Linked DNA regions of Rattus norvegicus. The protein of the gene in region 1 purifies or fractionates together with the protein of each later gene. This does not show direct contact. Links are inferred from orthologs where the notes say so. Each region holds a gene or a part of one and is shown on either strand. Other genes may lie near its edges.

Region 1 (3,150 bases):
TTTTATTATAAAACATTAGGCAGTTACTTTTGAGATACACAACCTGAAAGGTCATACTGTACTTACCACCAGCATGAGGCATCAGAGGAGTCATAGCAGACAGACTCACACACCCAGCCCAGATGAAACCAGTGTTGGGCTTTTTACTTTAGATGCAGGCCCTGGCTGTCAACAAGGGCCAATGGAGGGCTTTCTCTTTCTAACACCGGGGACTGGTCTTTGTGTTCTAAAGATGAGAGCACAGTTCTGACTGCAGGCCCAGTGCTTGAGGCACTCTGCAGCCCGAGTTCTGAGGCCGCGCTCCTACCCTGGCTGGACATGTCTGCCCTCCAGACCTGCGCTTGAAATGAAAACTCAGACCTGGAAGGGGCAGTCATTCCACTTTTGGCTGAAAATTAAGCCAACAACAACAAAAACTAACCTAGTGCAAATTCCAGATAATCATTAGTTACCCGGTTTATAAAAATACATGTCCAAAATAGTGACTTCCAGGGTGTGTACAATATAAATTACAAAAATAAAATAGAAAAGATGAGAAAGTTGAGCACATTTTTCAGTTCTTTATCCAACATCAGCATTTGCCTACAGAGGTCAGCTCAAAACCATTCGCATTGTCCCAGGACCCTGGCAAAGCTAGGCTCAGGAGGGAGGACCCTGAAACTGGGGTGAGGTATTTCTTTGGGGCGCTGTGGCCAGTCCTAGGTGCACTTGCCTGATGGAGGAGAGTCTTGGCATGAGACCCTGTCCACACCAGCACAGGCTCCATCCAAAACAGTGTTGATAGATAGGCAGAGTAAGGGGGGAGAAAGCCACTCTTTGAGGGCGCCTGGATCCACTCACAGCTGCCTCCTGTCTGTGGGACCAGGGCGAGCCTCTATCACAGCATGCTCCCCTTACAGTGTAGGGCAGATAATGCAGTGCCTTTCTGATTTCCTCCTTAAGTTTCAGGGAAGTCATTTCAAGAATGTGCATCCGAGGGAAGAGCACAGTATGACGCTGTGAAACTTCAGCCTCCCAGGGCCCAATAACCTGAAGCCATAGGCAGGTGTCTCTGCCCTCACCCGCACTAGCATTTGTAACTGAAAGTGTCCACATGTGATATAAAGCTAATCCTTACTTCAGATTAACATTGTTCATTAAAGGTTCCAATGATCAGACCAACCATTAGGATACAACTGGTGCAGACAGAATCACGTATTAGATGGTACTTTCCATAAAAGTTCTTATCAAATTTCCTTCTATAACACACTCCATAGCTCCCAAAGTAACTGAACACAAGATATGAATTGTTAACAAAATAAGCTCAAGAAGGAAATGCTCTGAGCGCAGGTAGCCAAGGTATGATCATCCCAACTCCAATTCTGCAACAACACAGAGAACTCAGCATCTTACCAAATCTCGAGTAATTTACAGATCAGGATCTGAAAGTATCAATTTCAGGTGAGCAGTTTTAAATCAGAAAATATTCAAGAATGAACCCCTAATTCTCTAGAATATTTCTTCTGCGTTCTTCTGAATGTTTCTAGAACATCTGAGGAATTCCCTTAGAAAAAGGAAATGCCTCCACAAAATGGAAAAGGACAGCAGCAAACATGCATGGTAAGTAAGCCCGGTCTCCTAAGAGACCATGTGCTCTGGCTGGACGTGGTGGCTTCTGTCAGTGAGAAAGACAAGTTAGGCAATGCTACAAAAGGAAAGGCTATGAGACCCAATCACCTTTCACCTTAAATAAAGAGAGGGGAGCAAAGGATGGGTGGGCTCAGGGAAGGAGGCACCCACCCACCGTTCTGGGGAAGCCACCCTGTCAGCTCTACATTAGGCAGCGGGGCTCAGGAATCTGCCGATTCATTCTACTGAGATGGGGTGCTTTGTGATAAAGAAGGTGAAGTTCTGTGAGGGATTCTAGATCCAAGTTCAGAGGACCAAGAAAAAGGAAATGTGTGGTCAGGATTCAAGGTGACATAAGTCGTTAAGCAGAGTGAAATACAACTTGGAACTTTGTCATGCAGAAAGCTGTACGTAAAGTTTCCCATAGTGGGCAGTTTAAAGGACACAGAGTGTCGATATAAAGCAGTGGTAATTCTCAGCCTAAAACATCACAAATTTAAGAAAAGCTGTAGTTTTATTTATTAAATAAATTTAATTATATTCCTTCTGAAATACAAAAGACAGAATAAATCATACCATAAAAGTGGGTAAAATATGATAATATGATAGTGGCCAATTCATACACATGATCTATTTTTTTGTGGACAGACACCAAATTACTAAAGAGGATTAAGAGATTATTCTAGAAGCAGAACTACCTGGAAGATTATTTGGCATTTAAATACTGATTCCCAAAGTGCTACATGGGCAAGTTCAAGCAAGCATTTGTGGTCACATGCATACGAGTCCCCACAGTTACACATGATCTGTCACCAAGGACACCACACGACTGGAAAAAGAAACTCGGCTATTCTAATTGCTCACCTGAAATGATCTTGAACAAAATTTCTAACAGTGTGGTTTGTACTTTTTCTCCAGACATCGTCTGCCTCATGTTACAGTCTACGCAGGCAATCCTACTGGAACTGAGTGGGGGCAAGGCGTCGTGTTTCTTACATGCAGAACATGGAGCTTCTTGATTTGGTTCCACCAGCTCCCATGTGCTCAGGGCCATGGAAGCCAGAGTCCTTCACAGACAAGTGCGCCATCTGCGAGGTTTCATCGGCAGCCTTCCAGGGGTCCGGTTGAGGCATCGAGACTGCTGTCTGTGTCTGAGGCCAGGGTGTGCTCAGTGGACATGGATGAGATGTCATTGATGGATGACGACTGAGAAGGAGTAGCCTTGCTGCTTACTGCTGCATCTGTGCTAAGAAAACCAAACGGAGTAAAATCTGAGGCACGGCATCCTGCACGCCAGGCGTGGGGCTTCAGGCTACTTCTCCATTCTGTGCTTGGTAGTTTCCGGATCCTAATGACCCACAGAACCAAGACTGCTCAACTACACTTTAAGCTTCTGGGATTTTTCCTGGAGTCCTTTGTTAGTTCAGTTTCGAAATCAGTCTTGGGCTTTCCCTACAATAGTCCCCTGTTCTGCCCGCACCACGGGCAATGTGTATGTGGTCACATATGACCATGTTGATGACTTAAAAGATATACCTGCTA
Region 2 (4,377 bases), on another chromosome or scaffold:
AAACGTGCTCATCAGTTCTTCTGCCACCTTTAAAAAAGGCACCTAGGCAGTGTCCACATCTATTTCCTTCAACATACTGCCTTCAAGGGCCAGAATCCTTACTTCAGTACCCTGCAAATGACAGTGTTTTGGGGTAAATTCTTCCTACACAGGAATCTGGCTCTTGGGCCAGTCCACCAGGAGAGTGCTTTTCTGTCATTAATCTCATCTTTCTTATGTGATATCCACGTGAAGCCTTTTTAGTAGAAGCAGCTTCAAGCTCAGATGCTCAAAGGGCGCTGGGATAAAGCTTCGATTGTCCTATTCAGTGGCTGAGAATGGTTGTCGCCACCTCAGGTCTCTCGTTTTTTCCAAAGTATGTAGTGTCTCAAAAACAAAGCTACTTTGAAAAGAGGAGAGAGAAAAGAAAAAGAAAACAAGTACAAAACCCCCAAATCCATGAGAAACTTGGAGTTAAATCAAGTAGGTCTCGCATCTCTTGAGAGGAAGTGAACTCTGGTTTAACTTAAGATGATGCTGCACTTCTGATAAGAAAATACTTATTTTATGTGTAAGGGTGTTTTTGCCTACATGTTTGTATGTTCACGCCACAGGTGTGCTCGGTGCCCATGGAGGTCAGCAGAGGGCATCAGATCCCCTGGATCTGGAGTTACAGATGGTTGTAAGCTGCCCTGTGGATGCTGGGAATCGAACAGTCAGTGCTCTTGACTGCCCAAAACCCCCTTAAAGTTTTATTACATTTTTATTTATTTGTGTGTATAGCGGGGTGGGGCCGGCATGTGGACTGAGGACAATTTTCAAAGACGGTTCTCTCCACCGCATGGACACTTTACATGCTGAGCCATTCCGAGGGCACGCAGAAAAGATTTTTTAAAATAATCCTTGGCTATGTTTGCCATAAATCGAGGCATTCGGATAGGGTGCAAGGTCGAAGACACGGGTGAATGTCTGACAACTCGGGTGCAATTTTCCTTAAAGTACCTGTAACTTCCCTCTCAAGAGAAAAGCCCCGGATTTGGGATTCCGGAACCTTCTTACAGAGTGACCGCAGCAGTCTCTAGTCACCGTGTTTTTGTATAGTGCGGGCGGGCGGCAGACTCTGACTCCAGGGCCGCGAACTCGGAGCGACCAGGCGCGCGGGCGGGCGAGCGGGCGGAGCAAGCAGCAGCACGGCGGCGGCCTGCCTGCGCGCGGCGCCGGGTTCTTCCTCCCCGTGGCGCCCGAGGATCCGAGCCCACCTCCCGGAGCCTCCGGAGCCTCCGGCTCGCGAGGACGAGCACCGAGGGGCGGGCGACGCGCGGCCCCGTCCGGCGCCCCCGCCCCCCGCCCTGCCCTCGCCTGTCTCCTCCTTTCCCCCCACGGGCTTCGCTGAGTTCATTCACTGGGATTGGTTTCAAGTGACGCCATCTCTTTATTTTTAAACCGATGACCTCATCGGCGCTTGAAGTTTCCTGACCAGCGACTCTTTCTCTCTCCCCAACCCCCACCCTACCCCCCCTGGTCCCCTCCTGCGGGCATCACCGTTTGGGGGGGCTCTCATCCCACTTCCAGCCATTTACCCTCCCCCTCTCCACTTTTCCCGCGCGGACCCCCCCAACTTTACCTCAACTTCTTCATCCCTGTCGACATTTTTTTCCCCCTTTCGGGGGGCGGTGGAAGAGAAAGTGAAGAAAAGTTGCAAACGCCCGGGCTCTCGCTAAGCTCTCCGCCCACCCCTCAGAGGAGAAGCCCCGGCGGCGAGGAGGACGCGCTAGCGACGGCTGGGCGACGCGGTGACAAGGCTCGCTCCCCACACAGCGAGCCTGGAGCCGGCCGCCCCTCAAGTAAGTGTTCGCGGCGGGCCGCGGGCCGGCTGGGAGGCGCGTCCGCACCTCGTGCGGGCCGCCGCGCGCTCTCCCCGGGGGCCGGCGGGCCGCGGCCGGCCGGAGTGGCGTCGGCGTCGGTGACGGGGGTGTGTGTAGGCCGCGCTGGGGGGTCGGCCCGAGTCGCGGGGGCGCCCGGGCCTCGCCGCGCCGAGCGGAGCGGAGGCGAGCGGGCGAGCGAGCTCCGGGCCGCGGGTCGCGGGCACCTGGGCGGGCGAAGCTGCTCACTTCCAGACTGTTACACAACACGCCTGCCAAGTGGGGCCCCGGCCTGACTGTTTCCATTATCCCAAATTCACCTTGTGTGCTGGCAGCGAGGCCACCTGGGGAGCGACGGTGCCGCTTCCTTAAAACTCATGCCCCCAACCCCGAAAAAGAAAACCCACCCCCACACTTCAACTTCCATTCCGGGGCTCCCGTCACGGTGTTGGGGGAAAGCGGTCCGTCGGTGACTTTATTTACAGTAGCCGTAAAATGTGAGACATTAAAACGGGGGAAGCAACGGACGGTCTGTGAGTATCGTGTAGTTTCACGTGAGAAAAAAAAAAAAAACCCTGAGGAGGACGTGTATGCAAACTCTTTGAAGAGCGGGCGACGGTTGTTTTCCTACAGAAAGCTGGTAATAAACTTGGGGGAAGTACAAGGAGATCTTAAAATGAATGGCCGCTGCAAAACTGGAAAGAACTTTCCTTAAACGTCTGTTTCCAAGATCCTCGGTGTTCGGAAGCCCCGTGGGTCTCAGACTGTTTGGAGAACGCACACCTCTAATCAGCCCATGCTTAGAGAGGAAAAACCTGTTGCATAATCTCATTTGCTGTGGGGTTGGCTGAGCCGTCCCCTGGAACCAAGGGGGAAGTGAGTTAAGATGAGGGTTTTAAAACCTCTGAGGTTTTTATTTACACAGTGCGCTGGGTGCCACTTTGCCTTTAAAGATTGTAAGTAGATACCCTGCTCTTACAAGTGAATCAAACCTATGGAACCTGCTGGGGAAATGACCAGGTATGTGTCCTTCTCTCTCCTCTCTCTCTCTCTCTCTCTCTCTCTCTCTCTCTCTCTCTCTCTCTCTCTCTCTCTCTCTCTCTCTCAGACTGGGGAGGGGGGCTCTTGGCCACTCTATGGAGCTGATACAGTCGACAACTACTTCCTCAAGAGTCGTATGCTTTTTCATCTCCCATAAAGAAAAGACTTTTAAAGGTAAAAGGGGAACAAAGAGCTTCACCATTGAGATAATTTCCTTTTAACTACTCCAGAATCATATTATTGATGAGCACACTTCGGGGGACGGCTGTGGTTCAGATTTATAAAATTCTGTATTTGGTGAAGATCAGCAGCTTGGAGAAGTATATTGAAAACTGAAGTATTTGTGGCTTTGTGTATTTTAGTCAAAATGTGACTAGGCACTGCAAAAGGGTTTTTTGGTCTTTATTTTAAGAATAAAGCTGTGGGATTTACTGGTGTTTAACGACCTTGTGGGGTGTTGATATTAATTTTTTCTTGACATTTACCATCTTATGGGACAAATTCAGGACTTCAGCTTGAATTATTAGTTTTTAGTTCAATATTTGTGTTTGTCAGAGTTCCTAATGGAGAGAAAATTAGGAATAAGTTTATTTTAAATTTTAGTAAGTAGTGAATAAGTTGATTAAAATTATAAAACGTTGATAAAGATATTTACTTCTTTTTTTTTTTTTTTTTTTTTTTTTTTCTCCCTGGTATCTCAGCATACCAGAATACTTATCCTAAAATTGTGCTGGTTTTACTTTAGTGTTTCAGATGGTAAATTTTAATGGACAGGGTTGGGAACAGGAAAGTGCACAATACCCACTCCCTCCCCAGCTCTCACTTTGTTCAGTTCCCAAGTTCTTGTCATTTAGTTCAGCTCCATGACTGTAATTGAGTACCTACAAAATTAAAATATTAATATGAAATTGGGAGTTCCTGGTTTTTTGATCAAAGGTTTAATTATAGTAATTGAGAAAGGGGACAAAGAGGAAGATCCTGGTACCAATTCCCCTTCCTCCTTTTTCTTAGATGTTGAAAACTTATTTGTAGAGTGGAACAGAGGGGGCAGAGGTCAGCTAGTTTAAGAGTAGGTCTGGCCTAGGGTTAGGTGAGGTCCTAAGCCCATGTCGCCTCCCACATAGAGAGAGTAGGTCTGAGAAGCTTGAAGGGAAGTTTGACTGGAGTTAGAGAGGAGCAGGAACAACGTAGGGGTTTTAAAATATCCCTTTTTTCCCTCTAACTGCCTGGATTAGGAAATTGAATTTCATAGGATTTTCATTATTTGGCCTTAATATATTAAACAAGCAAGTTTATATAACTGCCCATTGTTAAGTCTTTTCTATTTTCAACCAATCATAAAGTCCTGTTAAATATAACTTGATGTAATTTACCAGTGTAGTTTATCCAGTCTCATGTTCCTGGTGTTTCCAACAAAGACAGTTTTTTGTTGCATCTTATCTGGACTAATAATTTCATTGGACACCAATGTTTTTTAAGAGCCTTGAGTTCTCAA

The links. The genes of interacting proteins can lie anywhere in the genome.
Region 2: the proteins of Mapk9 (region 1) and Dusp16 purify together in Homo sapiens (affinity purification with mass spectrometry; 6 studies listed by BioGRID and IntAct, with this or other methods). This does not show direct contact. The link is inferred for Rattus norvegicus from reciprocal best matches to the Homo sapiens genes MAPK9 and DUSP16.

What each region holds. Positions count from the first base shown.
Region 1 is NC_086028.1:34,708,673-34,711,822, reverse strand, and holds the end of Mapk9 (mitogen-activated protein kinase 9), read right to left. Parts: exon of another isoform or gene 2,855-3,150; coding exon of another isoform or gene 2,850-2,854; coding exon 2,707-2,849; 3' UTR 546-2,706; downstream 1-545. UniProt on the Homo sapiens protein: Serine/threonine-protein kinase involved in various processes such as cell proliferation, differentiation, migration, transformation and programmed cell death.
Region 2 is NC_086022.1:169,358,600-169,362,976, reverse strand, and holds the start of Dusp16 (dual specificity protein phosphatase 16), read left to right. Parts: upstream 1-1,468; 5' UTR 1,469-1,823; intron 1,824-2,726; exon of another isoform or gene 2,727-2,861; intron 2,862-2,908; exon of another isoform or gene 2,909-4,377. UniProt on the Homo sapiens protein: Dual specificity protein phosphatase involved in the inactivation of MAP kinases. Dephosphorylates MAPK10 bound to ARRB2.